Linked DNA regions of Mus musculus. The protein of the gene in region 3 interacts with the protein of the main gene of each other region in a pairwise test. Links are inferred from orthologs where the notes say so. Each region holds a gene or a part of one and is shown on either strand. Other genes may lie near its edges. The genes, in order: Prkaa2, Smarce1, Mtus2, Usp2, Setd5, Enkd1 and Lnx1.

What was found.
Region 1: the proteins of Mtus2 (region 3) and Prkaa2 interact in binary tests that used the Homo sapiens proteins (3 or more experiments, as listed by UniProt). The link is inferred for Mus musculus from reciprocal best matches to the Homo sapiens genes MTUS2 and PRKAA2.
Region 2: the proteins of Mtus2 (region 3) and Smarce1 interact in binary tests that used the Homo sapiens proteins (3 or more experiments, as listed by UniProt). The two-hybrid records come from large-scale screens. The link is inferred for Mus musculus from reciprocal best matches to the Homo sapiens genes MTUS2 and SMARCE1.
Region 4: the proteins of Mtus2 (region 3) and Usp2 interact in binary tests that used the Homo sapiens proteins (3 or more experiments, as listed by UniProt). The two-hybrid records come from large-scale screens. The link is inferred for Mus musculus from reciprocal best matches to the Homo sapiens genes MTUS2 and USP2.
Region 5: the proteins of Mtus2 (region 3) and Setd5 interact in binary tests that used the Homo sapiens proteins (3 or more experiments, as listed by UniProt). The link is inferred for Mus musculus from reciprocal best matches to the Homo sapiens genes MTUS2 and SETD5.
Region 6: the proteins of Mtus2 (region 3) and Enkd1 interact in binary tests that used the Homo sapiens proteins (3 or more experiments, as listed by UniProt). The link is inferred for Mus musculus from reciprocal best matches to the Homo sapiens genes MTUS2 and ENKD1.
Region 7: the proteins of Mtus2 (region 3) and Lnx1 interact in binary tests that used the Homo sapiens proteins (3 or more experiments, as listed by UniProt). The link is inferred for Mus musculus from reciprocal best matches to the Homo sapiens genes MTUS2 and LNX1.

What each region holds. Positions count from the first base shown.
Region 1 is NC_000070.6:105,107,093-105,111,469, forward strand, and holds the start of Prkaa2 (5'-AMP-activated protein kinase catalytic subunit alpha-2), read right to left. Parts: upstream 2,807-4,377; 5' UTR 2,707-2,806; coding exon 2,613-2,706; intron 1-2,612. UniProt on the Homo sapiens protein: Catalytic subunit of AMP-activated protein kinase (AMPK), an energy sensor protein kinase that plays a key role in regulating cellular energy metabolism.
Region 2 is NC_000077.6:99,213,987-99,217,668, forward strand, and holds part of Smarce1 (SWI/SNF-related matrix-associated actin-dependent regulator of chromatin subfamily E member 1), read right to left. Parts: intron 1,301-3,682; coding exon 1,128-1,300; intron 150-1,127; coding exon 48-149; intron 1-47. UniProt on the Homo sapiens protein: Involved in transcriptional activation and repression of select genes by chromatin remodeling (alteration of DNA-nucleosome topology).
Region 3 is NC_000071.6:147,956,004-147,960,231, reverse strand, and holds the start of Mtus2 (microtubule-associated tumor suppressor candidate 2 homolog), read right to left. Parts: upstream 2,913-4,228; 5' UTR 2,511-2,912; exon of another isoform or gene 2,197-2,510; intron 1-2,196. UniProt on the Homo sapiens protein: Binds microtubules. Together with MAPRE1 may target the microtubule depolymerase KIF2C to the plus-end of microtubules. May regulate the dynamics of microtubules at their growing distal tip.
Region 4 is NC_000075.6:44,065,697-44,069,984, reverse strand, and holds the start of Usp2 (ubiquitin carboxyl-terminal hydrolase 2), read right to left. Parts: upstream 2,965-4,288; 5' UTR 2,765-2,964; exon of another isoform or gene 2,754-2,764; intron 1,948-2,753; exon of another isoform or gene 1,690-1,947; intron 557-1,689; exon of another isoform or gene 454-556; intron 1-453. UniProt on the Homo sapiens protein: Hydrolase that deubiquitinates polyubiquitinated target proteins such as MDM2, MDM4 and CCND1. Isoform 1 and isoform 4 possess both ubiquitin-specific peptidase and isopeptidase activities.
Region 5 is NC_000072.6:113,146,998-113,150,679, reverse strand, and holds part of Setd5 (histone-lysine N-methyltransferase SETD5), read right to left. Parts: intron 3,241-3,682; coding exon 2,942-3,240; intron 1,126-2,941; coding exon 992-1,125; intron 579-991; coding exon 490-578; intron 1-489.
Region 6 is NC_000074.6:105,705,313-105,709,664, forward strand, and holds the start of Enkd1 (enkurin domain-containing protein 1), read right to left. Parts: upstream 2,897-4,352; 5' UTR 2,845-2,896; exon of another isoform or gene 2,612-2,844; 5' UTR 2,597-2,611; coding exon 2,512-2,596; intron 2,432-2,511; coding exon 2,237-2,431; intron 1,427-2,236; coding exon 1,254-1,426; intron 1-1,253. Other genes in the region: 4933405L10Rik (uncharacterized protein C16orf86 homolog), read left to right, coding at 3,120-3,203, 3,484-3,701, 4,088-4,272, 4,349-4,352. UniProt on the Homo sapiens protein: Microtubule-binding protein which regulates microtubule organization and stability. Promotes the stability of astral microtubules and facilitates the proper orientation of the mitotic spindle.
Region 7 is NC_000071.6:74,626,382-74,630,063, forward strand, and holds part of Lnx1 (E3 ubiquitin-protein ligase LNX), read right to left. Parts: intron 1,981-3,682; coding exon 1,739-1,980; intron 1,120-1,738; coding exon 967-1,119; intron 1-966.

The DNA.
Region 1 (4,377 bases), on a different chromosome or scaffold from region 3:
TTGGAAAGAGAAAGGGCAGGGACTCTGATTAAAGCACATTGTATGAAATGTCAAATAATAAATTAAAATGTACTCTTTTTTTTAAGTTTTAGGATTTACTTGTTTTATGTATATGAGCTGTAGCTGTCTTCAGACACACCAAAAGAGGGCAACAGATCCCATTACATGGTTGTGAGCCACCATGTGGTTGCTGGGAATTGAACTCAGGACCTCTGGAAGAGCAGTTTGTGCTCTTAACCACTGGGCCATCTCTCCAGCCCTAAAATGTATTCTTAATACGCATATACTTTGTTTCACCAGCCCCTTGACTTAACAACTACAGCTGTATTGATTACAAACCCACTTGACCTAGCTTAATTTCTGTCATAAAACACCCCAACTAAAAGTGACTTAGGGAAGAAAGGGTTTATTTTAATTCAGTTTCCAGGCTACAGTCCGTTTGAGGGAAGTCAAGGCAGGAACGTGAAGCACATCCTCGGTCACCAGCAGAGAGAGAGAACACATGCAGGCAGGCCTGCTCATCATGCTCGCCCATCCCTCTATACTTAACAGAGCGCAGGACCCAAACTCAGGGAACAGTACTGCCCAGAATGGGGGAGGGCTTCCCACTTGAGCATGCGCAGAAGCTAACTGGATCTAAATAATTCTTCATTAAGCTTCCCTTCCTAGGTGTTTCTTCCTTGTGTGCATTTGACAATTAATAGTAACTATCACACCACATAGGGAATATCTCTTTAGGGAAGATAAAATGGTCAGGAGAAATCCAAACAGCTCGTTCCAGCAGGGTTCTCCAGGAAAAAGATTTTTCTCATAAGCCAAAGGTCCCTTCTGCTCCATTTATATTTTAGGAAGCTGGCGCTTAGAAGCAGACAGAGACTATAACCAAATATTTTCGAACTATCCCTTGACAATGGCCTGAGAAATCAGATCGGGTATTCCACTCTACATCAAGAGGAAAAAAAAAAAAGCAAGCGCAAACAAAAGCACTTAGCAGAACATGAAAGCATATAGGCTAAGTTATATAACTTACCCTAAATGGCAAAGCAGCCGTTTGCATAACTTTGCAATGCCACAGCAAAGCAGTTCTCTGCAAAGATGGTGGCAACATCATTATCTAATCTCTATCATTATCATCTCCCAACTATCCACAACTCTTACAAGATCCCAACTTCACAAGACTTCAAAGAATTTTACAAACATTTTAGGTCTTTACAAAAATACCCACTCCGTGAGGCCACGTGGCACCTTAATATAATCTGCCAACCTCACAAAAGGCTCCATCCTTCCTTCCCCTGTTCTCCTTTCTCAATAGGAGGGGGCCATATACTTTTCACATGTATTCTGATTGTCTTTCCCTCATAGCGAGTAAGTCCCAGGAGAGCTCAGGTTTTGCTCTTTCCTAGAACTCCGTTGCCCAGAACAGTTCCCCGCATGTGGTGAGAGCATTCAGTGTTTTCTAGTTGTACAAACCGGTATTAGATACACCAAGAGGAGTTAATCCTCGCAGGAATGAGGAGTCTCTCCCTTCTATTCAAACCTTCACTGGAGGTTAAAATGTAGAAAATAAGCCTCAGCATAAAATCCCCAGACTGCTTACCCGATATTTATTCAACAACAACAAAAGGCTAATGTTTCACTTTTAATTCCCAACTTGCTACCAAGTATTTTTTTTAACAAGAGCTGTAGTTCTGTTAAAAGGACGGGTAATCAAACCCCATGTGACTCTTATTAACTAATAAGAAAGCAAAGCAAAGTTTAATACTTAACTAGTTTAGTGCAGTGTGACATTTCAAAAGCAACCAGTTTTTTTCCAAAACCCCCAAAGCAGTCCCTTCACCAACAAACATACCCCTTGCCTAAGCAAGTCTGACCTCTTGGGGACCCAAAGTCGATCACCAAGCAACATTTTCTCCCAGACCCTGACCACAGAATCCTTCCTTGAACCAATCAACCTACAGAGCTAGGGGTTCTCCTAAATTCTCTGTCCAACCCGCTGCATTCCAGCGTTTTCACACACCCAGCAGAGGGACTTGGCACCTCTCTGCTATGGGCATGCCCCTGGTCAACTCCACCATCAAAGGACTGGGACAGGGAAGAATCTGGGAAAGGCAGGGACCTCATCAGCAAGGCCAAAATTGGAGGACATCTTAGACCTCACCCTGAATCTGCCAATTCTCTGTGACCTTGGGCGTGTCTCTGAAGCCTTGGAGCTCGAGTTCTCTCACCTTTAAGGTGAGGACCGCACCCGGCCGGTGCCACGTTAAGGATTAAGTGTGACCACAGATGAGGCTCCACGCAGAGCACTTGGCACCAGTGGGAGACCCCCTCCCAATTCGCGGCGGGCGCCGTGACTCCCCCATCCTCCCCACGCTTCGGGGCCCTTCGGACTGGGCCAATCGCCCAATTCTGCAGACAAGCGAGCTGAGGCATAGAGAAAAGACAGGGCGCTCGGAGGCACCCCCCGCCAAGGCACACCCCATAACCGCTGGTCCCCCCGGACCCACGCCCGGGCTGCGGCTCCAGGTGCTTGTGCCCCGGGCTCGCCCGCGAGCGCTCCACCTGCCACCCGGCCTCGCTCGCGCCTGCCCGCCCGCCCGCGCCGCTGCACTCACTCTTCACTTTGCCGAAGGTGCCGACGCCCAGGGTGTCCCCCAGGACGTAGTGTCCGATCTTCACCCGCCCGTCGTGCTTCTGCTTCTCAGCCATGTTCGGCGCACGGGCTCCCCCTGCCGCGGGCTCTGAGCGCCGCCGCCGCTACCGCTGCCGCCGCCGCTACCGCCGCCACCGCCGCCGCCGCCGCCTACCCACAGTGCAGCGGGCCCGGGGGGCGGGACGGGGACGCCCGGGGCGCGGTGGGGAGAGCGCAGCCCGGCGCGTGTGGACGCAGGCTGGGGGAGCAGAGCCGAGGCGTCCCGAGAAAAGCCCAGGGCGGTGAAGATGGAAGGGATGAATCTGAGCGCGACCGAGATGGAAGGAGAATCTGAGGAGAAGTGGGGGTGACGGGGTGTAGACCGTGAGCCATGCCTCGGGACCAGAGGGCAAGGCGCTGGAGAGGGCGGCCCGCCCCTAGCCCCTGGCACGCTCCCCCTAGCCAAGGTTTGTTTGTCTGGGAACGTTCTAGTCCGTACCCTCTTCAGATGGCGTCCCATTGTTTTGTAGTTCCTGGTCGTGTTATTGTTAGGTCTCAACCCCCAGACAAACTGCCAACGGAGACGCCTAGCATTAACATAGCAAAGGTGACGTGACGCTGGTTCTCTCAGCATCCCTTAGTCCCCACCTGGTATAGGGTCCTCCTGCCTGGCATACCCTGACCCCTACCCTGAACTCTCCAGCCCGGGGACTGAGCTGCCCCTTCCCTCAGGTCCTCTGATCCCTAGATAATTCAGCCATTTTGGCTGTGCCAGTTTCTTAGCCCAGGCCACCCACCCCTCTTAGGCTTGGCTCCTCTCTTGCTCTCCCTCCCTCTCTCTCCTCACATGGCCCTGCTGAGTCTGACCATGTGTCTCTGCCTCTGCTTCTGCCTGTATGTTCATTTTATCTATAACAGGCCTTCCTCATTGTGTTAGTTAAAGCTTTTATTGTTGCGATAAAACACCATAACCAGAAAGCAAGTTGGGGAGGGCAGGGTTTATTTTTTACACCTCCACCGCACTGTTCATCATTGAAGGAAGTCAGGACAGGAACTCAATGCATGGAACCTGGAGGCAAGAGCTGATGCGGAGGCCATGGGGGGTTGGGGAGGGGTTGCTGCATACTGGTTGGCTCATCAGGGCTGGTCCAGCCTGTTTTCCTACAGACCCCAGGACCACCAGCGCAAGGATGGAACCACCCGCAATGGGCCCTTCCCCACCAATCACTAATTAAGCCTTACAGCTGGATTTTCTCAGTTGAGGTTCCCTCCTTTCAGATGACCTTGTGTCAAGTTGCCATATGACAAGCCAGCACATCCACCATACCCAGGAGCAGTTATGGTCTCCTTTTATTTCTTTTCTTCATTCAGTTATATAGACAATCGTGTTATAGAGATAAAAGACATTCTCTTCAGGACTCTCAATTCTAACTCATTTGAACAAAATTTCCCAATAAATCATAGACACAGCCCTAAGTATATTTCAGCACTTGCATACATGTGTGTAGATATGCATTATATACGGGACAAGGGAGAAATACTAAAAGAAATAGGAAATAATTTACATGTGCAGGTAAATGTAGAACATAGACAAAACACAGAAGGGATCAAAGAATTGTGGGAAACAAAATGATGTAAAAACACATTAAAGAAATGAGTGTATTGAGGATGGAAGTAAAAAATAATAATAATAATAATAAAAGGGAATCCAAAGCATGCCCAGAGTGTTACCAGTGGGCAAATCACTT
Region 2 (3,682 bases), on a different chromosome or scaffold from region 3:
ATAGCAACTGGCGCATGATAAAGGTAGTCAGTGAATGGAACGGATACCCTTTTAAGTTCATTGTTAAAGGAGTCCGTGCTTTCCAGGAATTTCCTCTTCTTTTCCTGGTGTCGTTCCTCTATCTGAAGGAGCTCGGCTTCTAGTTTCCGCTGTAAGGTGTCAGACCAGATATGTATCGTTATGAGTTTTCTCTAAGGCAGATGTAAAGTGCAGAGAGCATGCCATTTAAAGATATTACTTTCAAGTGTAATTTGACATTTCCATCGTGTGTACGTGCGTGTGGGTACGCACACCAGCGCAGGAGCCCATGGAGCCCAGGAGAGGGCACCGAATGGCCTGGATCACAGATGGCTGTGAATCACCTTACATGGGTGCTGGGAACTGAACTCAGGACCTGGGCAAGAGCAGAACATGCTCTTAACCACTGAGCCGTCTCTCCAGCCCACTAATTTTGCATTACAAAATGAAATCTAGCTATAATTTTAAAAGTCTAGCATAGAGGCATGCTGGGATTGATAAGATGTTAATGAATAAATCTGGGGGGCATTGAATAGTAATGTAGCAAAGGCTGATGGGATCCCTAAATCCTCCAGTTTGCATCCATCTCTTAATAGATATACATGCCACCACAATGTTCTATTACAGTTTTTAATGACAAAGTTGTTAAGCTTCCTGAATGGTCCCCTCCTTTCAGCCTCAGGTGGCTCTACTTCACAGGTCTACTTATGACTATAGCAGAGTCACACAGCTGCAGTTAGCTCTGAGGCTATTTGTAATTTGATGCTAATTCAGGTCTCCTGTGAGGGGCTGCACTTAGGTGATTTCCTGCAAACCTTCTTCCCACCTTAATTGGCAAAATAAAGGCTAGAGCTGGTGATTGGGCAAAAAAAGGGAAGGTGGAGCTGAAAGTTGAGAGGAGGAGGAGGAGGTGTGGGAGAGAGGAGGTAGGGAAGATGGGAGTGTAGCGGTAGATCTGCCCAATCTAGGGGCACAGCTTGTATTCCTATTAATCGAGTTGTGTTTTCATTGCTGGGGCATATTAGGGTTGGAGAATTACCGCAACATCACACTATCTGGGATGTGTGACACAGACTCCTTCTAGTATAATGAATGTTTTCTGAACTTACCTGATGAACCATTAAAGACTGGACCTGTCGCTTGAGGACCTGCATTCTAGCTGTTGTGACAACCGACCGCACATCAGGTACCACACTCTCACTGAGGATCTCACTGATGAGACGGTGGTTTCTCTGGAAACGGGCAGTGGCTGTGTGCTTCATTGAAAAGCCATCATCATAGTCTAGAATGAATGAAATGTCCTGGAAATTAGTGACCACTTATCACAACACAATGTGAACAAGCAGTCACTCAGTAAGTGTGGTCCTCAGTGTCCTAGCAGGTGGGCCTGCCTAACATCAGAGGCATCTGGGCAGGCTATGGTAAGAACCACAGAGACAGAAGATACAACCCACCCAAGTGTTGTTCTCATAAACCCACTAAGGCAGTGGTTCTCAACCTGTGGGTCTCGAACCCTTTGAGGAATTAAACAACCCTTTCATAGGGAGTACAGGTTGCATACTGGATATCTGACTTATTAGATATTTACATTATGATTATCAACAGCAGCAAAATTATAGTTATAAAGTAGGTACAAAAGTAGTTTTATGGTTAGGGGTCACCACACCATAAGGAACTGTATTAAAGGCTTGCAGCACTAGAAGGTTGAGAAGCTATAGTGATGTGTGCTGGGCAGTGGTGGCGCACACCTTTAATCCCAGCACTAGGGAGGCAGAGGCAGGCGGATTTCTGAGTTCAAGGCCAGCCTGGTCTATACAGTTAGTTCCAGGACAGCCAGGGCTACACAGAGAAACCCTGTCTTGAAAAAGAAAAAGAAAAAGAGAAAGAGAAAAAGAAAAAAAGAAAAAGAAAAAAAGTGATGTGGTGATGTGTATCTGATATTTGGTTAAAATACCAACAACAAATGCTCACATCTCTTTTAGTCCTAGGATCCATGTAACACCTACATGTGATGGCAGAACTTGAAATCCTGCCCAATGTTCCATTCTCCTAGTAATTATCAAAGGCATTTGATAGATGCTACACTATAACTGGGAAGTAGTTTTATCATGGTTGTTAAAATTAATGAAAATATCCATTTGTAAAAATTAACTTATCACCATCTTCTCTAGTAATATTTAGTGTTTTCAGGTAGTTTTTGTTTTATCACATTAAAAAATAGTAAAGACCCAAACTAATCTTGTAGAAAACACAACTTGATTTAAAGGCTGGGAGATGAAGCATTTGCTGGGCAAGCATGAGGATCTAAATTTGGATCCTAGGCAGCATCCAAGTAAAAGATGGGTGTGGCAGATCTGGAGACTCATTGGTCATTCTAGCTAAAATAGCAAGCTCTAGTTTCACTGAGAGAGACTCTGTCTAAAAATAGTGCAGAGAAGCAATTCAGGAACCATCTGGTTGTCACTCTACCTTCCACATGTACCTGGAGAGGGAAGCATAGTGCATACACCGACCCAACCTTATCACAAGAGATGAGGAAGGCACCCAACACCAACACACACACGCACACACACGCACGCACACACACGCACGCACTCACACTACTCACAGATACTTGATTCTAAACTTATTTTTAATTTTGCCAGTTGATACTTGTACATGGCTTGTAAAGGTGCCATCTAAACTTAGGTACATATAGCACACATTTGGCTTATATGTTTATGTGTGGGAGTTGTTATTTTTTTGGTGTAATGCATGCATGTGGTTTACAGGTGTGCACACACATGTACATACATGTGGAGGCCAGAAGAGGTAACACGTGTCTTCTCTATCTCTTTTTGCTTTATCCCTTTAAGTCAACACCTCTCACTGAACTGGAAGCTTACCATTTTGGCTAGGTTAGCTGCCCACGGAAGTGCCAGAATCTGCCTGTTTCAGCTCCCAGTGCTGGTGTTACGGGGATGTGCCAAGCCACGCAATTTACATGGGTCCTGGAGATGTGAACCGAAGTACTTGTGCTCACACCGCAGGGGGTGTGATCTTTTTGAGACAAAATTTCACTATGTAGCCCAGTCTGGCTTTGAACTCAAAGCAGCCTTACTTCCTGCCCTAGTCTCTTGAGAGTCATTTAAAAAGCCCTCTCTATCTGTGTGAATCTTGTGCTGGGATGCTGAGTGTGTGCCACCCCACCCAGCATGGATGCTCGTTTCCAGTAACCCCAGAGTATTTCCTTTATCCTGCTGTCCCCTCCATATGCATGGTAGCAACCTGAATCAGTATTTGCTGAATAGTCTTTTTACACTAACTCATTAAACAAAGCAAGTGTTTTCCTCCAATATAAATCAAAACAAAGCTTGTCTCTGAACCACCTAATCCCCCTTTAAAAAATGATTTATGCACAAATGCTCTTATCTGCATGTACACCTGCATGCCGGAAGAGGGCATCAGATCTCATTATGGATGGTTGTGAGGCACCATGTGGTTTCTGAGAATTGAATTCAGGACCTCTGAAAGACCAGTTGGTGTTCTTAACTGCTGAGCCATCTCTCCATCCAGACCTAATCCTTCTCGCACTTCAGACAGATGCAGGGACCGTGCTTTAGGAAAGAAACCCTGCTACATACAGAGGCTTGCTTGCTGCTGAAGAATCATTTAGAAAGCCCTG
Region 3 (4,228 bases):
AAACTTGGACTTATAAAATTAGGGTTGAGAGAGTGGCACGGGAATCCTCCCTATTTAAAAAAGAAACCAAAACTACAAAACCACACAATAAACAGCCAGTGCTCCTCCCAGGGCCTCCCAAAGTAAGTCCAGGTGAGGGACCAGAAGGCCAAGATTCCCAGCCTCTTTGTATAGCCAGCATGGAAAGGGCTGCAGTAGTTTCAGCCAGCATTCAGGTCTCTAGAAAATTGTTAAACCTAACAGTTTTCTATTCCAGCCATCCTCCTGACACAGTTCTTATCTCCCGTTCACAAACGACCATCCCTGCTGCTCCCTCTAATTTGGCAGCAGCTATTCATTATAAAGCCGTGTGTGTGTGTGTGTGTGTGTGTGTGTGTGTGTGTGTGTGTGTCTGTGTGTCTGTGTGTGTGTGTCTGTGTGTGTGTCTGTGTGTGTGTGTCTGTGTGTGTGTGTGTGTTTGTGTGTGTGTGTGTGTGTCTGTGTGTGTGTGTGTGTGTGTGTGTGTGTCTGTGTGTCTGTGTGTCTGTGTGTGTGTGTCTGTGTGTGTGTCTGTGTGTGTGTGTCTGTGTGTGTGTGTGTTTGTGTGTGTGTGTGTGTGTCTGTGTGTGTGTGTCTGTGTGTGTGTGTGTCTGTGTGTGTGTGTGTGTTTGTGTGTGTCTGTGTGTGTGTGTGTGTGTCTGTGTGTGTGTGTGTGTGTGTCTGTGTGTGTGTGTCTGTGTGTGTGTGTGTGTTTGTGTGTGTCTGTGTGTGTGTGTGTCTGTGTGTGTGTGTGTCTGTGTGTGTGTGTGTCTGTGTGTGTGTGTGTCTGTGTGTGTGTGTGTGTGTGTGTTGTGTGCATCCCACATGAGCCTAGGTTTTTATACATTCTCCCTCACGATTTCAGCTCTGACAGCCTAGTTCCATGTCAATTATGTAATAGCCAAAGCAGGGAGTTTAACCGAGTACCAAAAGCACCGTCGTGGCTCTTACATAAGCTCCCATAAAGCCTCTGTAAGCCCGCCCCAAGCTGTGGAAATGTGGACTTATAAAAGATGCCAGCTTTCCCTCTGTCCTTAAAATTACCAAAAAGGCTTTTGTGCACCTGATTGACTGATTGCACTCCTATATAGTATATGAAAACATCCATTCAGTGAGAAAAATAATCCTTGGTGAAACAATTTTTTAAAAAAAAAATCATGCAAACAAAAAGAAGGCACTCCCTCTCCCCAAAACTACTGAACTTTCAGGGTTTCCTCTGCACAATGCACTATACCCCAACTAAGACTCCCATGGGTACCCTCTGTGGTACTAAGGACCCCCGGTACACACAGCTTTTCTTTGCAAGGAAAACAAGCAGGAAAATCACTTAGATGAAAAAGACCCGGGCTAAAATCTTTAGCTTCTCTCCAGTCAAACACAAGTTTCTCTCCCTATATGTCACACGCCTGGCTGGGGTACCTCGAACCCACCGAGCCCCACCTTATGCTGCTGGAGACTAAACGAAGCACGAAACGATGCCCACCAACAGTCACAACCCTGACTCCACATGAGCCACACACATAACAAATGCCATCACCAGAAACCAGTAAGAACAAGATGCGTATCTGATGTTTTCCACTCTCATCTTTGTACCTGAAAAATTACGGTACGTGTGAGCAGAGATCTTTAATAACTGTCAACACACGATTAGCTATGTCCACGTGACAGCAAAATACAACTACCTAACAACTTAAAAGCCAAAACGGCTATGTGACAGGGATCTATTTCTTTAAGTCACTTCCCACCTATTTATTGTCAGAGACGTCCCACTGGTTTTCATAACAGACTTAAAAAAAAAAAAAAAGCCTGTTTTGTGTCTTAACGCTTGAGAGTCTACGGTATGAATTTTTCTTTTGAAAGGACCTCCTGTCGCCTTTAAATGATACCAAAACCATCTCATGCTTATCCTGAAGGAAAGTTTTGAGCTAAGACAGAAATTATGGCTCTGACTTCCTGCGCTCTTACGTTCTCTGGTAACCGCTCCTAACTTTACCAACCAGCAAATATTCCTGTGAAGCACTTACATAACAAAAGAGTGCAGGCGCCTCTGGCACGCCGCCAAGCGTACTTCTCTGGGTGTTTGTATTTAAAATAGAACGGTAGTAACATCACTTGCAAGCCTTTCCCTGCACAGACTCAGAATGAAGGGGGTTGAAAAATGGATGGAGCAAGCCTTACCATTCTAGGGCTCCAAGGAAATAACACATCGGTGCTAAATTAAGACGAAGACACGGACCGAATTATCCCGAGCTGGGGGTGGAGAGGGGTGGGAGCTCGCTTAGGCTAACCCGCTGTCGCCTCTGAAACACCGTGCTCAACCTGACATCCCCGGAAGGTGCGAGTGGGTTGCAGCCTCTCTCCGGCGGAGCAGAAGATGTGGGCAGCGGGGAGCGGGCTCTCTGATGCCAGAGAAGCCAGCAAAAGGCACCGCCTCCGCCCCGCTCTGCACCTGTCTCCAGCCGGATCGGGACGCGCGGACAGCAGTCGCTCACCTGGGTCTGGAGGAGCCAAGAAGGATGTGCAGAGAGACCAGAGCAGCCTCCGGGAGCATCCCGGGCCGGGCTACCTCCGCACGCAGCTCCTTCGCAGCTGGAGTTTGCAACGCGCCCACGCGTCCAGACTCCTGACCCACCCGGGTCTTCTGCAACTTGACAGAGCGCGGGCTGAGGTGGCGCAGGTGGCGAGCTTAGGGCACCGGGGTACCTGGGGCCGTGGCCGCAGCCAGCCCTCCGCCCGCGCACTTCACCACTGGGCACCGCCCAAGCCGCCGGGCTCTGATCACAGGGATGGCCCGGGCTGAGGACGCCTCGCCGGACAAAGACGCCGCTCCCGCCCACCCTCCAGTGAGGTGCCGTCCGCGGTGACAGAAGCCGGGCTGCAGCGGCCCGAGGCGCGCACCCCCTCCCGGCCGCCCGGAGATGCTCGCGAGCCCCGGCGCCTCCTCTCGTCCGGAGCCCCGTGGGGGGAGCCGAGCGCCCTCTGCTGGCCCGACACGACCCGGCAGCTCACGGGACCACAGTGGTCCGGAGCATCCAGCCTCAGACCCCAGAGAAAGGAGAAGCAGCCTGAGGTCGCTGACCTAGACTCCTGACTCCCACGAGTGGGATGTGCTGTGGTCCAATCGGAAGAGAGAGCCTCTTTTAATTGCGTGCAGCAGGAAGAATTGGGGTCCAGCGGGTGAACTCGCAAGGGATGTAGCGGGGCTGATGGACAGGAGACTAAAGAAGTCTCTGTAAGGGTTTTGTGTGTGATTGTGTGCGGGTTTGGCGGGGGTGGGGGTGGGGGAGTTGGGGTGTTTGAGGCAGGATCTCACTTGAGACTCACAGATATCCTCTTGCCTCTGCCTCCAAATCTAGGGGTAATGCATAGCCGGCTACCCACTTGAAAGACTCTTGTCTCAACGCAAGCTTGTCTGCTTCGTAGTTCACAACGTTCCTCAGAAGTAAACATGAACGCAGGACTTCTCAGTAGCCCTTCCAGGTCGCCTGAAAGCAGCGCACCTGGGAAGCCTGAAGACAGCCGGGGGGCTTCTCCAGCCTCTGGCTCACAAGATTTGGGACAGACTGACAGAGAAGACAATGAGATGCTGGCTTACTGATGTGCTTGCTCGCTTTCTCTTGGGGGTCGGGAGTGTGGGGAAAATGGGCTCCCTCCCCCACCCCAGCATTGCTGTGCCGAGCAACATTTTATACCAGCTGAATTTTTGTACTAACTGGTCTATATTGTGAAGGGAAATCATGAAAGAGCACTTTTCACACGGCTGTCTTTTTACATTATTCTATGTGGCCTCCCATTTCTTCTGGAGGAATCTAGGGCACGTTTTATCGCTTTTCCTGTCACCTTCGGGTGTTAACAAGCGGTCTGACTGGCTGTTATTACAAAGTCCAGTCCAATCTAAATCAAACTTTAAGCTCATTTCATTTAAGCCTTCGCCCCTCCCTTCCCCTAACTCACAAACCCCAGCCTGACTTAAACCTAGAAAGATAGTAAAGCCTCCTTTGTGCCATTCACTTTCCTATTTGGGTGCTCTGTGAAGCCCATGCCTCCCAGGTGCAAGGAATGAGGTCCTGGCGCTACAGCTCCTTCCTCGGGCCACTCCCACTCCTCCAGGGACTCATCCCACCCCCACCCCCATCCCACAGGCAGACCTGACCATCTTCCACCACATCGGCTGACAGTGTTCATTAAACTCTCTACAGAAGCTCTGGTT
Region 4 (4,288 bases), on a different chromosome or scaffold from region 3:
GGGATGGGAGATGAAGAGGTAAGGTGAAGAGATCAGAGATGAAAAAGATCCTGGTTTGTGGAGAAGTGGTGGGCCCAGAGGGCTCACTACGGGATGTTTTTTTTTTTTTTTTTTTTTTTTTTTTTTTTTTGACTTGGTGTTAGGAAGGATGGCTATCTCTACAAGCCCAAGAAAAGGCAAAGAAACAGGCTTCCTAGAAGCAGAAGGTAGCCTGCAATTTTCTTTCCCCTCCTCATGCCCAAGTACCCCTCCTAGGGCTCCCTGCTCTAGAGCGTCCTCGCTCCCCTCCTTTAGGGCTTCAGTTGTCCTCTGTCCCTATACCCTGAGGAGCATTTGGTTACAGCACTCACCAGGTCCAGTGGGTGGCCTCTCAAATGCTCCCCCCCCCCCACACACACTGAGGGCTTACTTAGCTGTCCTTGAAGCTCAGACACCAAAGAGAGAGCTACTGACCTGTGTTGGGGGCACTGGATGGAGCCTGGGGGCTTCTTTCCCCGAAGGGAAAAGACTGCTGTGTAGCCTCCAGAGGCTGGAGTCTGACCGGGCCTGGGTAATCCGGAGCTCAGGTTACGCTAGCTAGATATATATAGTATCTTATCTGACCTCTCCGAGATGGCAACTCACTTGCATTCCAAGCCCCAGGAGAATTAAAGGGGCAGTGACAAGCCCACCGTCCACCCGATGCCTAGTGGCTGGAGGAAAGTTGAGAATGAGCTAGAATCCTGGGAGGGAATATTTGGAAATAACAGGAAGGATCAAGGGGATGGGGGATGGGGGGCAGAGGGCTGGGGATAAATTTGAGTCCCAAACATGGAGAAGGTGGATTCTCTAGCGCTGTCAGTCACAGGTTGAGCGAACAGGAAGAGGCCAAACTGCTAAACCAGATGCTAGAATTTTAAGATGGGGAGGACCTAGCTCGTCCTATGGACATGGACAGAGGGGGTGGAGGATCAGCACTTGGGTTTCAGTCCACTACTGTTTTTAAGGTGGACTTGTAGGTCTAGGCCTGAATTCTTACTCTTTCCTGTATTGGATCTAAGATAGCTTGTGAGGATACTCAGGTCTCTGAATCTTAGCTATGTAGTTTGTAAAACATGAATAATAGAACTAGCATGGTGACACATGCCTTTATCCCAGCACTTGGGAGACAGAAACAGGCAGATCTCTGAGTTCAAGGACAGCCTGGTCTACAAAGCAGATAGCCAGGGCTACACAAAGAAACTCTGTCTCAACAAAACCAAACACAAACAAACAAAAAACCACAAAGGAACAAACAAACAAACAAAACCCATGAATAACAACAGTCGTGACTATGTCTCACAATGGTGAGGATAAAATAATAGTTTTAAGTCTCCTCGAACATAGCAAGAGTACAACAAACGACAAGCTTATTGGCCGTGTTCACTGTCAAGTCACTAATGTTAGTTGTAGCAGGCAACCCTAGAAGAAAAAGGCCTTGGGCCACCTTTCAGGAAACTGCTGATGGCAAATAATATTCCTGCAGTTTTCTGAAACAATCCACGTCCCCCAAATGGAAAGGTCAGACAGACTTTGCCACTTTCCCAAGGCGACAGGCCAAGCCTACTTGGGCTCCTTTCCCCTTTGCTCAGAAAAAAAAAAAAAAAATCAAGTGTGGCTTCCTTGGGCTGCCAGGGAATGTTTGGCTCCAGAGGAGCAGTTCCAGTCTACCTGTTGGAGGGCTCAGGGTTCCAGGGTGTCAAAGGCAGGCTGGACAGGGTCATGAGAGGACCATCGTTCTGGCCTCGGTGCACCTGTCTGCTCCCAAGAGGAATCTTCTGCTTCTTGATGGCTCTCCCTGGAGACTGGAAGGCCCGAGGGCTGGTGCCTCCACCCTGTCTCAGCACAAGGTACTGACTCAGACTGGGTCCTGGTGATGCACTTTGGAGGACGCCCTCATTCCAATCCTCATTCCAGAGCGGCATGCGCCTACAGCATCAAAGAGTAGGGGACATCCCCCACCCCAGGCCATCCATCAGTTCTCCATGCCTCTTGTTTTGTGGTTTGATGTGTGTGTGTGTGTGTGTGTGTGTGTGTGTGTGTGTGTGTGTGTGCAAGCTTATATGCCCGTGTTTGGGGGAGATAAGCAACCCCTACTAGAATCTTCAACTCAACTTCATTCTCAAAAGCTCTGGGGTTAAGAGCTAGGAGTTCTCTTTTCTCTGGAGAGCTAGAAACGGTTGACCAGGACTCCCCTAGGCAAGTTGCATGTCAGAGAACATTGCATGGCTGCTTTTGCTTTGGGATTGGTGAGAATTTCAAAGTTGCCTCTTTCTGATTTGGGATTGGTGGAAAATTTTTCCCTTCCGCTTAACTGCTAGCTTCCCCTAAGCCCCTTCCCCCGCTTTGGAAAACTGACCAAGAGATAGCCCCGGGATGTTTAACAACAGGGAGGTTGTTAGCTGCACACACACGTGGGGAGAGGGGGGTGTCAGGGTCCAGGGGTCATTCTCGGGCTACACAACACACAGGGCGGGGAGACCTGTACCCGCGGTTACAGTGTTTCCTCAGAACACATTGATCAGCACACAGATGGCTCTTCCTGGCACCCCGAGCTGGCAGCTGGCAGCCCCTCTCATACACTGGCACCCACAGCTGGAGTCTCCCCCTCCACACATCTGGCCCTCGCCCTACATTTCTCACGTCCAGACTGCCCAGGCTGCCTTTGACACCCTACTTTCCGAGTCTCAAAGCTGGTACTGACCCTGGCTTTTTCCTTCCCCGACCTGCGACAGGTGGCACGTACCTGCCTCTTCTCGGAGGATGGACGAGTCGAACCGGGCACAAGCATGGAGCTGCGGATGAGTCCTGGCTGGTACTGGCGCGGCGCAGCGAGCAGTGGCTGACGCAGAGGGCTCCCTGGCCTCGCTCGGTGCCTGCCCGCCTCTCCCCCACCTCCGCCGGGGGCCCAGAAAGGACCTCCCCGGGAAATCGGCGCCACCCAGCGGGCAGCAGCCTCATTGCGCCCGGGCCGGCCAAACCACACCCCGCGTTTGCGTCACTGATATACGTCATGGCTATTGGCTTGTTCCTATTGTTGCGTCAGTAGAGCCCCGCCCGGCGCGCATCTCCCAGGTAACCGGGTATATACAGAGAACCACGTGGAGAAAAAGCACGCCTGTTTGGAGCCGGTGGCGCAAGGAAAGAAGTGGACTGGAATCTGATAGGTCCTGGCGCTGGGAAGACTGAGACAGAGGGTCACTTCACGGGAAAAGGCAACATTCCAGCTTTCAGATCTTAGAGAAGGCTTTCCTACCGGGCTGGGAATGTTCTATTCCATAGACTCTTTTTCTGCCTACTTTTTTATTTTATTTATTTATATTTAAAAATGCATTTATTTAAACAACCATGTATATCTCATAGCAATATTTATAGAGCCCCATAGGTCAATCAATCAGGTAAAAAAAGATTATGTCCATTCAACACACTATCAACGTACATGACTATTCAAGTGACGCATTCTATGGGCTACTTATTAAGTACATTACTAGACATGGTGATAAGTACTTTGCATATATTAGCTTTCTCATTTAATCTTTTTAATGGTCCTGTAAAAGAACCACTATAGTCATCTATTGCACAATGTAGCTGAAGCCTAGGGAGACCATGTTCAAGTGGTAAATAAATGTCAAGTGTCTTGTACATGTCTACTAATGCAGTTCGCTTAGGTGACTACTGGGAGGACTTAGCCCAAGAAAGGATAGCATTTCATCTAAGCTATCAGGTTTAGAATAAGAAAAAAAGATGCAACTTGTATTTTAATTTTAAGCAAATGACTTTATTTTTAATCAATTAGTTATTGTGTGCAATGGTGCTTTGCTTGCATGTATGATTGATCCCCTGGAGGTGGAGTTACAGACAGTTGTAAGCTGCCATTTAGATTTTGGGAATTGAACCCTGGTCCTTTAGGAAGAGCTGACAGTGCTCTTAACTGCTGAGCCATCTATCCAGCCTGCAAACTTGACTTCTAAGAGTTATTTATTGTTAAATTAGATAACACCCCCTAAGAAAAATCAGAGTTATTCTTTTTTAAAAAATAATTTATTTTTATTTTATGTGCATTAGTGTTTGGCCTGTGTGTATGTCTGTGTGAAGGTATCAGACATTGGAGTTACAGACAGTTGTGAGCTGCCATGCGGTTGCTGGGAATTGAACCCAGGTCTTCTGGGAGAGCAGTCAGTGCTCTTAACCATTGAGCCATCCATCTCTTTAGCCCCTCTTTTTTTTTTTTTTTCCTCAAGGCAAGGTTTTTCTATGTAGTCCTGGAACT
Region 5 (3,682 bases), on a different chromosome or scaffold from region 3:
GGATTAAACTCAGGTCATCAGGCTTGATAGCCTTCACTCACTGAGCCATCATTAGCCTGCTCCTCCTTCCCCCAGAACATTTTAATGGCTAACAAAAGCAGTCAAACATCAGTTTCTGATGCATGCATTTGCTTTACTAAGATCCCTGAGGTGGGGCTGGAGAGACAGCTCAGCAGTTAAGAGCACTGACTGCTCTTCTGACGGTCCTGAGTTCAAATCCCAGCAACCACATGGTGGCTCACAACCATCTGTAATGAGATCTGATGCTCTCTTCTGGGGTGTCTGAAGACAGCTACTGTGTACTTACATATAATAATAAATTAAAAAAAAAAAAAAAAAGATCCCTGAGGTGAGCAGATGAGCAGATGCCTGACTTACAGGGCTATACTATGCAGACTTTAGCAGCTGACAGTGTGTCACGACTAGGAACACAGGATCTGAACTCCACAGGCACTTCTTTCTCTAGAGCCCAGAAGTCTCTTGACTTACCTGGTAGCTATATCTGGAAGGGCTGTAAACAGTTGCTCCTTTAGAGAGTGCTGAGCTCAATGGCTCTGGGCCTTCTCCATCTGCAGGGTCTGGAAGGCATTACAAGAATCAACTTGGCTTCTTAGAACACATAGGAAATAGGTATCATTCAGTCAAATCATCAATACATGCTGATCTCTGTGAAAAAATGAGCGCAGCATGCCAGAAGGGCATAGTAAGTGGTTAATTATGCGCTAAATTTTAAATGCCTCATCTTATTCTCGTCTCCTTCTTTCTCTTCATCCTTCATGAAGGTGGAGCTCCGGAACATTGGAGATGAGAGTTACAGAAAAGTATCCCTTGGGAAAAGAGCAGACAGAGAGCAAGCAACGCTAGATCTCACGTATACTGTAGCCCAAAGAGTAAGACTGAGCTGGAAGCTAGCATAAAGCAGAACCTGAGTAGGTCAGAAACTAACTTACTTTATCCCAACATTTGCTGTGAACTGCAGACCTTAGCTCACCTGACTCTTTCTCTGTGATGTTACTCTCCCATGTTGGAGAAGGCTCTCCCTTCTGGGCAACTCTCACACTGCTTCGAAGAACCTTAGGGATGCTACCTCCTTCTCGGAGTCGTTCAACTGATGTAGGAACCATCCTGCAAAGGTACAGAAGCCACAGAGATTAAGGGCTAAGAGTCTGAAACAAATCACCATGATAAAGATGGTGTAGTACAGACTCTTAAACCATCCTTACACTATTTTCTCCAGGACCTACTGAGAACAAGGCATTTCCTCTGCTTCAAACTATGCAATGTATAAAAGTAGGGGCAGTGAGAAAGCAATCTGGGAAAAGTAGATTAAAGATATTAACTTCTTTTAAACTCTGTCTGAATGTGAAATTTCCTCCTCTGAAACTGTGTTCTTGAAATAGTTTTCTTTCTTTCTTTTTTTTTTTTTTTTTTTTTTGAATTTCCAAGACAGGGTTTCTCTGTGTAGCTCTGGCTGTCCTGGAACTCAACTCTGTAGACCAGGCTGGCCTTGAACTCAGAAATCCACCTGCCTCTGCCTCCCGAGTGCTGGAATTAAGGCACCACCATGCCCAGCTTTGAAATAGTTTTTTATAGGATTCTTAGAGATTAAAGAATATAATACTTTGAGACCTGTATCTTCTTTCCCAGGCTCATTTCAAGATCCCATGCTTGAGGATCCCTGGAGCTTACTGGCCAGAGACTCGGGATTAATCAGTGAGCTCCAGGTTCAGTGAGCGATCCTTTATCATAAAGTAAGGTGGTCTCGAGTCTCCAAATGTAGACACCCCACCTCTGAAAAAAGAAAAGAATGAATGCTGTACTCCTAGCTGTGATGCATATTTATAACCCTAGGACCCAGAAAGAAGAGACAGGTGGATCAAAGAGTTCAAGGCTATGAGACCTATGTCAAAAAATTGCAAAAGAAAAAAACAAAAGAAACTATCTCATTCAATACTGAGAACTTGTCATTAATATTACTTATTTTTTATGATACCTTCTAACCTTGACAAGTCTACGCATGCATGCATGCATGTATGTATGTATTTTATGTATGTGAGTACACTGTAACTGTCTTCAGACACACCAGAAGAGGGCATCAGATCCCATTACAGATGGTGGTGAGGCACCATGTGGTTGCTGGAAATTGAATTCAGGAAATCTGGAAGAGCAGTCAGTGCTCTTAACCACTGAACTATCTCTCCAGCACAAAACTGTGAGATGGTAATTATTTTATTTTATTTTATTTTATTTTATTTTATGTGCACTAGTGTTTTGCCTGCATGTATGTCTGTATAAGGGTGTCAAAGATTGGAGTTACAGACAGTTGTGAGCTGCCATGTGGGTGCTGGGAATTGAACCTGGCTCCTCTGGAAGATCAGTTAGTCGCTTAACCAGAGTCGTTTCTCCAGCCTCTAAACTAGACAACTCTTTTCAGACCGTCTTGCATTTCTCTGTATATGCTAGCAGCATGGGACACAGCTCTTTTTCAATTTGAGAAAACCAGAGTCAGCAAGATGGCTCAGTAGGTAAAGGTTAAGTCTGAAGATCTGAGTTCAATCTCCAGAAGAACTATTTCCTTTAAATAGGGAAGAACTATTTCCTTTAAGTGTTCTCTGACCTCCATATGCATGTATGAGTGACCAAGAGTGCATATATGAACGTGCACACAAGGGGTGGGGGAGGGGAGCGATTTGGCTGGACTGTTTACTTACCTCTCATCAAAAAAAAAAAAAAAAAAAATAGCGCGTGGACACCCAAAACCTCACTGTTCAGTGAGTCTCTGAAGGGAGAAGATTTGGCTTACACTAACTAGCTGAACAAACAGATGGCAAATTACCTGCCTGTCTTAGATAAGTGCTCCAAAAACTTCAGGTAAAACTGGAAATGAATGTGTAACTTCCCACCTGAATTTAATTATAAAGCTAATTAAACATAAACTTACCACCTACTGCTGATGTTTTCTTGAGGTCTGCAGTGAGAGGAAGAAGTGCCCCTGGAATCTGACGGGCTTACCGCCTCCAAATGCGATGCAGAGGAATGAGACGGGGAAAATTTTTTGTGAGGGGATGACGGGGTTCCGGCTGAGGATCCCTGCACACCATGGGCACCAGTGTCAGAAACAGAGTTACTGCTGCCTTGCCCAGCTCCTGAAGACTTGCTTTTGCTCTGTGAAGAGTCATTTCCCCCACCAGAATTCTCCTTAGCTTCTTGTTTTCTTTTGCGGTACTCTAGCAAGGATACCTAGATATGAAAAAGAAAATGTATCATTAGTGAGTGGCTTAGGTATCAACTGTAATAGCCTTTACTGTATTTACAGCTGTGTGTGTGCACAGGCTGAGTGCAGGAGTTGGAACACTACTGGAGAGGAGAGCAACAGGCAGTTGTAGCCATCTGCTGTGCGTGTTGGGAACTGAGCTCTGAATCACTGAGGGACCTTTCCAGTCCCTATATAACAATCTTTTTTTTAGGTATAAAAGAGATCTGAGCAGTGCTACAGACTCAAGCCACTCAGAAACTGGTGAGGACAAAAAATATTCTATCAAACAATGGTGCTCAAATAAGACTATATCCTTTTACTTTCTTCAGAGAAACTTGTGAGATTACTATCACCTTGGTAACCTACAATCAGTTATATACCAAAATGGGGGCATCTATAAAAAGTATGGCAGAAAAAACAGAATGC
Region 6 (4,352 bases), on a different chromosome or scaffold from region 3:
AATGTAAGAAATAGCGGTGCATGCCCGTAGTCTCAGGAGGCTGAAGGAGAAAGAGTAAGGGTTTAGGGCCAGGATAGGTGATGGAGAGAACCCAAGGAGAGCCTGGGGCTAAAGAGCAAGCTATAAACTCAAAGAAATGAGCTGAGAGTGGTGGTCCAAACCCGGTAGACTAAGGCAGGAAAATTAGGCCAGTTCAAGGCCAGCCTGGGCTACATAATGGGTTTGAAGCTATTCTAGGCTACACAGGGAGACTCTGTCTAGAAACAAAGTAGCAGTGGAGATAGTGGGGTGGGGGTGGGGTATGGTTGGGGGTGGGAGTAGGAAACAACTCAGCAATAGCACAGGACAGTTCACAGCTCTCTGTAACTCCAGTCCCAGGAGGCCCATCCCCTCCTCTGGACTCTGGTGCACAGACAATCATGTAGCCACACAGACATGTAATTTTTTTTTTTAATCTCAAAGAAGTCATGAATGAATTAAAAGAAAAAGAGAAAGTAGTGTGGTAGTGAACACTTTTAATCCCAGCGCTCAGGAGGTGGACAAAGGAGAGTTAGAAAGTCAAAGAGTAGCCCGGCGTGGTGGCCCATGCCTTTAATCCCAGCACTTGGGAGGCAGAGGCAAGCGGATTTCTGAGTTTGAGGCCAGCCTGGTCTACAAAGTGAGTTCCAGGACAGCCAGGGCTATACAGAGAAACCCTGTCTCGAAAAAAAAAAAAACCAAAACAAAAACAAAACAAAAAAGAAAGTCAAAGAGTTTGAGGTCAGCCTGGGCTGCGTGAAACAGAGACACAGAGATAGGGGAACCGAGAATGAGTTAGCAGGAAGGTCGTGGGTATATTATATGAGTACCTAGTGTGCATGTGTCTCACGATTCCATCTCCAATATCACATGTAACTAGGTAACTTAGGTAGTTCTTTCAGATATGTACCCTGCTGGCTTTCTGTTCAAACCTTCTGCTTCTCCCCCTTACAAACTGAATTATGCCCACTATGCCCATTGCCCCTACTCCCTCTGATGCCAGAATCTACCTGTGGGGTTTTATCTCTGTGGAATGTTCTCTTCCTCTAGCCTAATCCTTGACCTGATGCCATCAGCTCCCCAGAGAAAGTCCACCCAGATGTCTTAGTCTTTTGTGATCACCATCTCCCCCAACGCACGCACTCATGAACGCACGCACACACATGCTCTGTAAGTTAGATCAGATATAATTGCCTTGGCCAAGATGGATAGGTCTGCCTCCCTGGGACAGATACCTTCATCCTGGCCTTGACTCGAGACTCCACATTGTCATACTTGGGTGAGCGCCACAGTGCCTTCAGTGGCTTAGGCTGACCCTGTTCCCGGCTGCGTTCCTGGTCTTGGAAGCGCCTCTGAATCTCTTTGATCCGCCTCAAGTTTTCCTTCTCATGGTCCTTTGGATTCTTCCCTGGAAGGGTGCAGGGAGGAATATTGCTAGGGACAGCCCTACCAAATGGCCATGCACCTCGGACTAGATCGAATATAGATTCACACCCTACCCTTGGCAGAAAGACCTCTCAGACAATCTGGGAGATGTCTGGTAGAAGAGAGGCCCTGGGTTCACACACACATACACACACATTTTTAAATACAACCAAGGCCTCTTCATGGAAGTTAGACATCATACCCACAGCACAGTTATCAGCTTATTCCCTTCCACAGTCACCCTCCTGGTTATCTTCTACATTTTATGATTTAGCATACCATTAATCACCGTGTATATTATACACATGGCCTGTCTTGTTCATTGCCTCCAACTGTGACTCCCATACTCCCCCCGCCAATTTTTTTTAAATTCACACATCCCAATTGTAGCCCCTCTACTCCCAGTCCTGCCTGTGCCAAATCCCCCCCCCCCCATTACCCCTTTCTCTTCTCCTCAGAGAAGGGGAAGCCTCCCTTGGATACTACCCTACCCTGGGACGACTCCCATACTTTTTAACCCCGTTTTCCTAACAGCTACAGGGTTTGGCACAAAGTAGGCACTAAGTAAACAATGCTCCATCAAGGTGTGAAAGCTTGAAGCGAGGGCTTTCTGCAGAAGGATAGACTCTGATCCTGCCAGGAGGTATTGTATTTTGCCCTTCTTTTATGCTAGAGAAACTAAGACCCAGAAAAGAACATTAACTGCATGGGCTCAAGGCAATTAAGAAGCACCCTATTTTAATCTCTGCTTTTGACCTAAGAATGCCTCAATACCCCGTCTGCAAGGACTTACTCTTAGGAGAGACCCCCGAACCGAGGGAGATGCACCCCAGTTGCAGCAGCACGTCCCCCACGCCTCGCTGGCCACGCTCTAGGATCTCTCGGGCTTCAGGCCTGATGCGAGGGCCACGAGGAGGACTGGAGTCCAGGTCCCGACCTGAAGTCAGCAGGTCCAGCTTCAACGCGTTTCCTTCCAGGCGTCCTTGGGCTGAGGAGCAAGACGCGGTGGAAAGCCGTGCTCAGGGGTGGGGCGGGGTACTCGCCCCGCCGAGGCACCCCGCAACTCACCCGAGGCCGGCCGCCGGTAGTAGTCCGGGCAGAGAGTGGGGTCTGGGGGGATGGGTCCAGAGATGCGGGACGGGCCCTCGCACATGATCCTACCGCAGCCCTGCAACAGTGCACCAGGGCCTGTTGCGCTGCGCAACTTTCCCCTCTAATCCCTGTCGGGTGCTTCCACCCTCCACCCGAGCCCTGCATCCCCGCGGTAGCCCCCATCACCGAGCCCCACCCCTCGACGACCGCCCGTCTCTAGGCGCAGACTGTACCACCGCCCCGCGACTAGCCCACTGCCCAGAGGGGTTCGCCGCCCCTCCCCCGCCAAGCCCCAGCGAGGGCTCTCACTGGAGCAGTTTTACCGCCAACTGTTGCAAGCCGGTAGGAGTTGCTGTTGCTTGGCAACAAATGGCTTCCTGAGGTCAGGGGTCAAATGACTAAGGCGAACAGCCTTCTGGGGTTTGTAGTTCCAGATGAGGAGTGATTCTAAGTCTCGGGTCTCAACAGGAGCCTTACCTCTCAACCTGTCTCCCCTACCAGCACTGAGTACCAGTCCAGCCCCGCTCTGGGCCTGAGGTTTTCTCTGATCAACTGTCGAGGGATGCACTGATTCCTCATAGCCTATGGCCTCAGAAGGGGCCAAGAGGCAGCCAGAAACCCAGAATGGGGCAGCAGTAGGGTTAGCCCAGGTTGCAGAGAGCCTTGAGGTGACTTGGGCATTTCAAAGCTCGGGAGATGGAGGGGTAGGGCAGGAGAGGTGGGACTCTAGGTAACCCAACCCTCTAACTGCCAGGCCAAGCCCTACAAGTAGAGAGGCCTAAGCTGGTTACCTTCATATTTTGTGGCCAATATGTAGTTAGGAGACACCACCACCCCCCCAACCAAGGGAGATGTACTCCAATTGCAGCAGCTTTGGGCTTTGAATAACTGATCCCCACAATACTTTGCCTGGCCATCGGCTCCCAATGACCTATGTGTATCTTCTAGTGTCCAGGAACAGAAGAGTGTCTGGTGCCGGCACATGAGACCTGCAGGAGCCCAGGCGAAGACAAGTGTCCCGTGGGGCACAGCTTAGAGCCAGAGCTCCAGGAGGAAGGAATAAAGGTGGGAGAGGAAGGGCTCAATGCAGGGGTGGAAGCAGGAGAGGAGAGAGGACCCAAGCCTACGTCATCCATCGTGAGACCAGCTCATGGGCCCAAGAGAAAGTGAGAGGGCTTTCGGAGGGAAGGGCTGGGAAGGTGGGTCTTATGCCCGGAGATTCCTAAATCCCCATTCCTTCAAGGCAGAGATTCTTGTCTTTGACCAATACCCCTCACTCCCAACTCTAGAACTTGGGGGCTGGGGGGTTGGTATGGATTTGGGACTTCTAGATCTTGCAAGGAGACTGAGCTACCATAAATGCTGAGCCTCTACTGGGCTTGGAGCTTCACTGTCTAAGAAATGGACAGCTAACTAGCTCTAGTGGACAGGCAGGGGTAAGCCCTAGGCTCAAGATATAGGAACCAAAGACTGAAGCCTGCCTCTTTCAGGCCTCTTGTCCCAGGTTTGGGTTCCCCAGCCCTCCCAGGGCCAAGCACCATGTCCATCCTAGGTCAGAAGTTGAGCTGCCACCGGGGGTGCTGCAGAAGAAGGAGGAGCCAGAAGGCAGCCACAGTGAATCCTCACTGTCCTCGAAACAGCACAAAAAAGCCAAGAAACGCAAGAGTGGCGGGGCTCCTGTGCCGCCCGCTGTGGCCAGCGCATCCGCACCCGCCGCCGAGACCTTGGGGTTGGAGCGTGAGTGGCAGTCCCTGGGCTCTTCTCTTGTTTTCTTTGTCTTCTGAGGCTGACATGGCACAGCCTGGTGTTCTAGCCTT
Region 7 (3,682 bases), about 73 Mb from region 3:
AGCACATAGAACACTTAGAGCACCGTGTGTGTGTGTGTGTGTGTGTGTGTGTGTGTGTGTAGGTACGTGTACACTAAGAATACTAGTCTAGCCAATGTGCCAGCTTCAGTCTAAGATGCTTTTTAAGGGCCCTCAAGATGGGTCAGTGGCTCAAGGCACTTGCTGAATTCCAGTCTAGGACCCTCATGGTGAATGGAGAAAACCAACCCTTGCAAGTTGTCCTTTGACAGTCACATGAGTCACATGCACTGTGGCACGTGAGTACATGTGTATGTAGGTGTGCACAGCCACCTCCACCCACACACTATAAATAAATTAGTATAGAAAAATCAAAACAGGGGCTAGAGAGATGGCTCAGTGGTTAAGAGCATTGAATCCTCTTTCAGAGGTCCTGAGTTCAATTCCCAGCAACCACATGGTGGCTCACAACCATCTGTAATGGAATCTGATGCCCTATTCTGGTGTGGCTGAAGACAGCTATAGTGTATTCATTCATTCATATATATATATATATATATATATATATATATATATATATATATAATTCTTTAAAAAAAGAAAATCAAAACAATAGGCAAAACAAAGGCACTAACTTGCTGTCAGTTTATATAGAACTCGCAGTGTCTGTGGCTTTTTCTGTTTTAGCAGAAGCCTGTGCACAGTGCCATTGGGTGAGAATGAAGTAAAATGCTTTTCACACTCTAACTATAATCATTATTTTCATGTGCATTAAGCCAGCACCTGGAGCCCAGGAACAGACGAATTTTTCCTCACCTGTGTAAAAAGACAACAAAGAAACCAAGAGTCCCTGTCCTTACTCAAATGAGGAGGTCACTCAAGGCTATGTACCCTTGGAAAGACAGAGGTCACAGAGGGTGGACATTGGTCAGGCTACCACCATCCCTCAAGTGACTCTGGCAAACTAGCCTACAGCCAGCCTCGGGGTGCAGTGGAGATTCCCTTTACCTTCGGGGACAGTGGTGTTCTCAGAGTTGTCCCTGCCCTGGTCAACATGGTTGGCAACGACACTCCCGCTCTTCGTCCTCCGGAGAGCACTTAGAGCTCGGTTGATCTTCTTGAAAGACCGGCTTCTCATAGTGGAGCGCTCAAAGGGCCGTGCTGAGGAGAGAGAGAGAGAGAGATCAATGGAGATGAGAGGCACAGGCTCACCGCAACCATCTGCTAGCTAAGCGTGCTGCTGTGTGCCTGTGATCTCAGCACTCAGGAGGTAGCCAGGAAGCTCAGGAGGCCAGAGCCAGCCCTGGTGCAGAGTGAGGTGTTGCTTCAAAACAAGCAAAAAAGAAATCTTTTCGGTCTAAAGCGTATGAACTGGGACATTGGGATATTAAAACAGTGATCACTATTTACCTGTAGTTCTAAATTTTTTATGTAGTAAAATAACATATCTCACTATTTAAAAAAAAAAAAATCTCTTCTCCCCCTTGGATGGGAGTGGATAGAACATTACTTTCCAAAGAAGGCAGGGGAGGTACCCTCTCTATAGGAACTGTAAATCATCAGACCTCACCTCACCCTCCATTACCAAGTCAGATCACATGGTCACTTAAACTTTCATTTCCTGTTGGAGAACTGGACATTGAGTGTCGGCCAAAACTACCAGAACCATTTCCCCTTTAAAAAAACATTTTGAGAACTTTCCACCACGGGTATTCTACAGAGGGCAATCCCAGGGAAAACCACGGGCCCATTCCCAGACACCGTCCCATTTTTGACTCACCCCTAGTCCGGTTGCTCCGGCCAGAGTCTGAGGAGTTGGCTACTGGCTCACCATCCTCCACCGAGGACACGTAGGCAGGGTTGTCTAGGCCAGGCTCATCTGTCATTAAAGAGATGGTGGCGGCTGCAGAAACCTCTGGGGAGAGCGTCGTTGCCATGAGGCTGGCGCAACCATCAGGACAGCCATCTTGAGAGCGCCTTTTCCTGTCCTTGGTCAGGCCATAGTGGGAGGCCCCTTTGCAGCTGGAATAAAACCAGAGGGGCACTTAGAATGTTTAGTCAGAACTTCCCCAATCAATACACATGCTTGTCCATGTACACCCCTCCCTTTCACATATAAGAATTCAATATATGCTGGCCGGCCAAATACATTAATGACTTGAGAAATAATTTGTTTTTAATTGCCTGTTATATTCTCCTAGCATATAATCTCTACTGTCAAGCAGTAGGAAATCACATCTACCTGACTGGGGTTGAGGACGGGGATCTCTAACATTTGGACTTGGTGACTGTTTATTTTGACTACCAAAACCCCTAATCACATTCTCACCCCTTTCTTTTGGGTTAGATCCCACAGCATTGGACATAAATACTCAAGGCCACTCCCAGATCCTGTATTTAGCCGACCATGGAAACAGAATCGCACTCGCCACAAAGCCACAAGGTTTACTCGGAACTGCTAGTCTCTAGGGGGCGGGTGTGATGGCTTCCATTCCTGTTGCTAGGTTGGTCTGGTAGCGCCTTGCATGCTCTTCAGAGGAGTCAATGCCAGGAGCTCTCACACACTGAAAGATGTCACATCTCACAGCATCGGGGGAGAAAAACATCTTTGATTTTTTTTTTTATTGACAACAGAGATCTTTCTGTCCATCTCTCTATCCATTTTATTCACTGCATTTTCCCAAAACCCAAACACTGTAAAGTAGACCATCATTGGCACATTAGGGAGAGGGAGGAATGCCCAGGGCTCTGAAGACCAGCGTTTGAGCCTATCTGGATCCTTAGTTTTACGAACATGTTTCCTTGCCACTGGGCCAATCATTTCAGCTCGCTGACAACGGTCTGGTCAGAAACTGGTGATGATTTAGCTAACACACTGTTCTGCTGGAGAGGGTGTCAGATGACACAGCTGCTGATCCGGCAGAAGTCATTCTAAAGAACTCCTCTGAGTGGCATTGGCCTGACACAGGGCTACTGATTATGTTAGTCTTCTCCGTTTATCACACAAACCCTGGACGACATTGTCGTGGGGGTTGCCTCAGACCATCAGAAAATGCAGGTATGTATACTATGATTCATAACAGCAGCAAAATTACAACTATGAAGTAAGAATAAAACTAATTTAGTGGGGCGGGAGGTGACCACAACATGAGGCACTGTACTAAAGGGTCGCAGCCTTAGGAAGGCTGAGAACCACTGCCTTGTATGATTGAAGTCTTTATTTTTCTACTTATTTACCGTCCTTTTCTATACTTATTATTTGTGGGTGTGTGAGTGTGAGTATGTGTGTGTATACACACACATACATAGGAGGAGCTCACAAAGAAGTCAGGGAACAAGTTGTGGGAGTCAGGTCTCTCCCGCCACGAGGGTTCTAGGCATCAAACTCTGCCCTCAAGCTTGTCAGCCCTCAACCACTGAGCCATCGCTCTGGCTCTTTTTTTATTTATTCTTTTTTTTTTTTTTAAGAAAGAGCACAGTAATCATGTTGTAACTGAACTACTTAAAATAAACATTTATTTATTTATTTATTTATTTATTTACTTATTTATTCATTCATTCTTTCTTTCATTCATTTAGGTTTTCTGCAACAGGGTCTTGCTGTGTGGTTCAGGCTGGCCTGGAACTCACAATCTTCCGGCCTCGGTCTCTTGAGTGATGAGGTTATACGTGAACACCACTCTACCCAACTGGATAAACATTTGTAACTTTATTTGAGTGATGC